Linked DNA regions of Bombyx mori. The protein of the gene in region 1 purifies or fractionates together with the protein of each later gene. This does not show direct contact. Links are inferred from orthologs where the notes say so. Each region holds a gene or a part of one and is shown on either strand. Other genes may lie near its edges.

Region 1 (3,123 bases):
TTACTTTAAGTTTTTTGACATTTAACAGAATTGGGAGTGCCTATCCCACTTCACGATTTTGTTTTCTCTGTATCTTATTATTTTATCAAAGTGGCAAAATCGCCAATCGTCAAATAGCAAAAATCAATATCGAAACATTTGGAATGCTCTGCAAACACAGACATAGTTAACACTACTGTAATCCGAATGCCGACCCCACCTAGTGGGATAAGGTGGAGATAAAGAAGAATTTAAATGCTTAATTTCAAATAAATACACGTATAAATATTCAACACCGTACGGGTAAAAAGCAAATAAATCATCACAAGATCATCAATCGAACCCCCAACACTCGGCCCCATAGTCAGCAGCGATGACTACCGCGTCACTGAGTCATTCATTGGAATGAACTTGTTTCCGGTGTTTCCGTGGCATTGTTGGCGTCCGTGAGCTTCAGTGTCCAACTGTAATAAAATCCAATCATTCCAATTTGTAATAAAATCTCTTTGGCTATACTATTTGTATCTGGCTGGTTTTAGTATCAATAAGTTTAAATTTTAAAGAATTTATATTCTTCAAATCCAAATTCAAATTAGGAAAATGTGTGATTTTTATTTATTTTTCGTACTGTCAAGATGAGTGGATATAATGAAGAAATTCGATACGTTTTAAAATTTTACTACAAAAAAGGTAAATACAGACGAGGCTAACGAAATAATTTCAACAAATAAAACTTCGCAATATACATCGAATCATTTATTGGGGTCGCGGCCAGTCGAGCAGCACCGCGGTGACGTCGAGCGCCAGTATGTCGGCCCGGAAGCCCGCGGCGTCGCGGAGGCTCGGCGTGGTGCGACCGAACTCCCCGTGGCACCACTCCTTCACGTACGTGCCCGCTTCCGTGCGGATTGTGAGGGTGAACAATTGCGGGTAGTCTGAAAACAAAAAAAAAATAGGGTAGAACTATACTGAGATCTTAGAACCGGACTTTTTGACGGGAACGCGTTCCAGCTTTAAAGTCGAGACAGTCATACAACACATTTGAGACTACGACTTCATGTCTGAAGATGGCGGCGTGCACGTTTTCAAATAAACGTCTGAAGCGAAAAAAATTATAATAAGGGTAAACGTTCAAAACGATTCCACTTCGCGTCTCGCAGACAAATCTTATATATGTCTGTCTCTTTTTAGTGTCATTTTTTCATTACGCTAAGCGCTAAAGAAGATATCACTTCCAAATTTAACTCCAGAGCCACTGTTCCAAGCTACGGCTTGATCAAACAATATAAAGCGAATAAAATTGGTCCAAGGTCGGGAGTAACTCACCAGGCACCCTCCTGGCCACTACGTCATATATCCTCCGGGTCCTGGTGAGCAGCGGGCGCCTGTGCAGCACTCGGATCGGGGTTCTCTGTTTCACCACGATCCTGGCCTCGTCCCCTGCCTCGGTGTTCCTGTACTCGTTTATCCTCTGGATGTCCTCCTCGGTGACGGCGACAGGCGTTTTTCCATTCAGCTGGAAAATAGCAGAGATCGCTATTAATTATTTAAGTCGTCGCGGCCTGAAGGATAAGACGTCCGGTGCATTCGTATTGAAGCGATGCACCGGTGTTCGAATCCCGCAGGCTGGTACCAATTTTTTCTAATCAAATACGTACTTGACAAATGTCTACGATAGACTTCCACGGTGAAGGAATAACATCGTGTAATAAAAATCAAAGCTGCAAAATTATAATTTGGGGGTAGCCCTTGTAACTATATTGAGGCCTTAGAACTTTATCTCAAGGTGGGTGGCGCATTTACGTCGCAGATGTCTATGGGCTGCAGTAACCACTTAACAACAGGTGGGCTGTGAGCTCGTCCACCCACATAAGCAGTAAAAAAAAAAAACCTCCTACCCGTACGGGCTCCGACAACGCCCCACTCCTCAGTACTGTATATAACAAAAACCTTACTATCAGAACCGTTGTACTGATCGCCCAGCTAAGCTAAGACTCCTTACTAGCATTAAGCGGTCAAAGCCTTGAGCTAATTCAACGGAATAAACAAAAAAAACTCACAATATTCGGTTCAGCGTTCTCATTTCCGAGCTTTATGCACAGAGCTTCGTAAGTCTTGCATTTCGTCTCTTCCCCCTTTTTAAGTTCCGACAACTCGTTCCTGGGACAGAAAAAACGTACACAAGTCGAGTCGTGCGAGTTGTGACGTCACAGCGTTACGGGACGAGCGAGAGAGACAGCGATATGTACCCGCTGTTACGTCATTCGATAGGTAAACTGTTTGTTCAGTTATACGATCCGTTCTTTAGGGCCGGTGGACGCAGCCGTCTGCCAATTAAGAATTCGAACTCATGTCTATGGTAACGACTTAATCCGTGGGCTCGTCCGTCTACTGCAGATCTCACCACCTTTGCAATCACTACCCTAGTGATCACGTGCCGAAGCTGACGCCCCCCCCCCTCCTACAGACCAGACTGTTGCTGACACAGCCCACTGAGTTTCTCGCCGGATCTTCTCAGTGGGTCGCGTTTCCGATCCGGCCCTTACTAGGGTTCGTATTAGCAACGTCAAGTTTGAGCCCCGCGAGCTCACCTACTCGCCCGGTTACGCTGACATAGCCTCTCAAGGTTAGGTAGGAAAAAAAGGTACCTGGAGACATGCATTAGTTTCTGAACGATCACTTGGCCACCTTTCGAAATCTCCTTGCAGACCCTCTTCAGCTCGTCACCGGTGAGGTCTCTTCTCGGGTCTGTGATCTGGAACATGACACAATCGGTGACCATTTTGGAGCCATCCTGTTCCAGTCGCAAATTTAGTATACATGTTTTTATAACTTTTCACTGTGTGCGTGCGTGCGTGCGTGCGTGCGTTCTATTCTACTAATTGTAAGAGAGAGGGGGAGAGAGGGGGAGAGAGAGGGGGAGAGAGGGGGAGAGAGGGGAGAGGGGGAGAGAGAGAGGGGAGAGAGAGGGGAGAGGGGGGAGAGAGGGGGAGAGGGGGGAGAGAGGGGGAGAGAGGGGAGAGAGGGGAGAGAGGGGGAGAGAGAGAGAGAGAGAGAGAGAGAGAGAGAGAGAGATTACACTCAATCCTACCAAATTCTTTAACTTTACCCATGACCACACTAACTGTTGCTAGACTATTAAAA
Region 2 (2,635 bases), on another chromosome or scaffold:
TTAGGGTGTACAACACATAGGGCCTTAATAATATTTTGTTGTTAAGTGTTTCACAAAATTTGTTTTGTGAAATTACTTGTGAATATTTTCGATTGGGAAAAGAAAAAAACTAAACTTATAAGATATTCACTATTAAATATTAACTTTCTAAAAATAAATAAGATTATTTGGAGTTGGTGACAACTTGTCTGTGCCCCTAGCATTGTTAATGTCCATGACCTACTTACTACGAATAAATAATAAGTCTATTTATTCGTAGCCTACTTAGCATCACGTAGGCTGTCATCCACTTACAGTTGCAATAAAGTGCACGATTAAATGTGAAATTAATGAATTATTAACATAGCACCACCTTTGGTTTCAAGAGTTGCAGCAGTAATTAAAACTCCTTTTACAGTTTAATCATGTTTTTATACTTTCATTATCACTAGTTGTTATGGGCTGCTTTGTCCTCATGATCAAGGAAAAGCGCCAATTCTTTTGTCTGGTATCACATAATTTTTCTAACAGATAATAAAACAGTTTCAATTGTGAATGAGATGCTTTTTGTATGGATATCTGACTGTATTCAATACTTTACAATCGTGATCATATATGACATGAACAGTCACAAAAGTACTTTTAATTATGTTAACAAAGATCCAATGAACCTAATCACTTTTAGGAATAATCCTGTTGAAATAAGATTTCATAGAGTTTACATTGTAGTTAATTTGGTTTTAATACAATATCAAATAAATAAAACCAAACTTTAAAAAGTTAATACTATTGTTTATTAACAGAACAATCAATACATTTTATGTACTCTTCATGAGTTAACAACTCACTTTTTGTCGCTTCTGAAATTGCTATACTTGCTAGCATAATGGCAATAAATCCATCAGAATCTGGCATGTTTTTCAGCAACAATGGATTCTGTACAAGTTCTTCATTAACTTCAACCAAAGTACCTTTCATGCAACAGGGCACTTCAAATACGCTTTCATCGCTGAATTCTATCTTGCAAATCACAGATTTTGGAGATAATAGTTGTCCGCCCTTTTTACTTTTTCCTTTGACAGAATTGTTCAAACGATCAATTTTACCAATGTTGAAGTTAATTTTGTAATTTTCGTCTTTACTGAAGAAGGAATGACTTGGTGCTAGAGATAACAATGCAATTCGGTTTGAATGAAACATTATCATCATATCATTATTTTTTATGCCATCTACATTAATTAAGTATCGTTTTGAAAAGTATCTCTCTGTGAAGGTCTTCAGATTGTCTAAGTCTGGTATTGAATCTAGAATGTTGAAATCCATTGTTTTCATAATCACAAAACTATGTTTTCTAATTTAAATATATATCAGTTGGCTGCTGCGCTCTGGGCTAAAATTCGTGCTCGAATATTGGCGTGGCGTTGTCTAGATTCATCTAGATTAGCTTTTTGCCTCTGAAGTCTTTCAGCTTTCAAACATTTCCTCATGTCGCGATCATAATCATTGCAATAACCTATAAATTTACGAAATGGATGCTGAAACGAAACTTTTATGTTTATTTTATGATAGTACTATCTTTGTTGAATACAATGAAAGGTTCAATTATAACCTAAAAACAAAAGTATGAAGCATAGTTTCCACGTTACATTACAGTAAGTTGTGGACTAAATCGTTTTTAATATACAATTAGTAAACTTACATTTAAGTGGCAATCTACTAATTTTTTGATAAAAATATTACACTCATCGGTGTGTAAATGGGGTGACAAATCCGTGTGCATAACTTAAATAAGTTTTATTATACTTTATAATAAACAATATTATTTAATACAAATTTAATTCTTGAAGAAATTATGCAATTGTAACTTTCTGTTATATAATTCCCTAATCAAAATTCGTCTAAGAAATTCACAGACTTCTATTTCTGTAAATTATCTTCTATTGACAAATATAAGGCAAATGTCATACTTTGGTGTCAAACAGTGACAGTAGTAGTTGCTCCATTTTTCCAAGTAGAAAGTCGTAGATATTACACCATACTGCCTAATCCCTTATTGCTACTTAATGTGTATATTTTATTCTCTTTCATAAAAAATGATATATAGAGCGAAATAAAAGAAAATTGATTAATTTGATACATTAATCAGTCGAGATGAAGTTAAATAAAAAGAAATAAGGTGAAATGGGATGAAATAAAGTCACAGTAAAGTGATGGTTAATTACAAAGACTTTAACAAAATGAAGCATTTCACGCTACTTCACTTCTCGCGTTCCCGCTAAAAATCTTGACATTTGCCAGCTTAAGGTTTAAAATTGCTATTGTTTGTTTGATTCTATCATCAGACTGCAAAAATAACATACCTACTTCATTTGATCAAATTTTCTATAACGATGGCTAAGCTCCCTCTTTTGATCCAAAGGTTCTACATGGTCCATGTGAATATAATCAATAATTCCAATGATTGATTTCTCTACGGAGTCAAGTGGAAACAGCTGGTACTTGAAAACACAGATCCAGAAATGAAAGCACAGGAAGCCGAACCTATGCTTTACACAGCTTAAAAGCTTTTTACACAGCTTAGAAGCCACTGTGATAATTTTTCTAAGTGTGAAATACCACTCTGTTGAGGACTTTCAACACTTCAGATGATAACTAG

Evidence for each region.
Region 2: the proteins of putative tRNA pseudouridine synthase Pus10 (region 1) and protein Abitram purify together in Homo sapiens (affinity purification with mass spectrometry; 3 studies listed by BioGRID and IntAct, counting the BioPlex papers as one, with this or other methods). This does not show direct contact. The link is inferred for Bombyx mori from reciprocal best matches to the Homo sapiens genes PUS10 and ABITRAM.

What each region holds. Positions count from the first base shown.
Region 1 is NC_085129.1:17,029,342-17,032,464, forward strand, and holds the end of putative tRNA pseudouridine synthase Pus10, read right to left. Parts: intron 2,735-3,123; coding exon 2,628-2,734; intron 2,140-2,627; coding exon 2,040-2,139; intron 1,496-2,039; coding exon 1,306-1,495; intron 915-1,305; coding exon 736-914; 3' UTR 723-735; downstream 1-722. UniProt on the Homo sapiens protein: Protein with different functions depending on its subcellular location: involved in miRNA processing in the nucleus and acts as a tRNA pseudouridylate synthase in the cytoplasm.
Region 2 is NC_085113.1:6,927,782-6,930,416, reverse strand, and holds protein Abitram, read right to left. Parts: upstream 1,347-2,635; 5' UTR 1,312-1,346; coding exon 766-1,311; 3' UTR 751-765; downstream 1-750. Other genes in the region: COX assembly mitochondrial protein 2 homolog, read right to left, coding at 1,347-1,514, 1,679-1,759. UniProt on the Homo sapiens protein: Actin-binding protein that regulates actin polymerization, filopodia dynamics and increases the branching of proximal dendrites of developing neurons.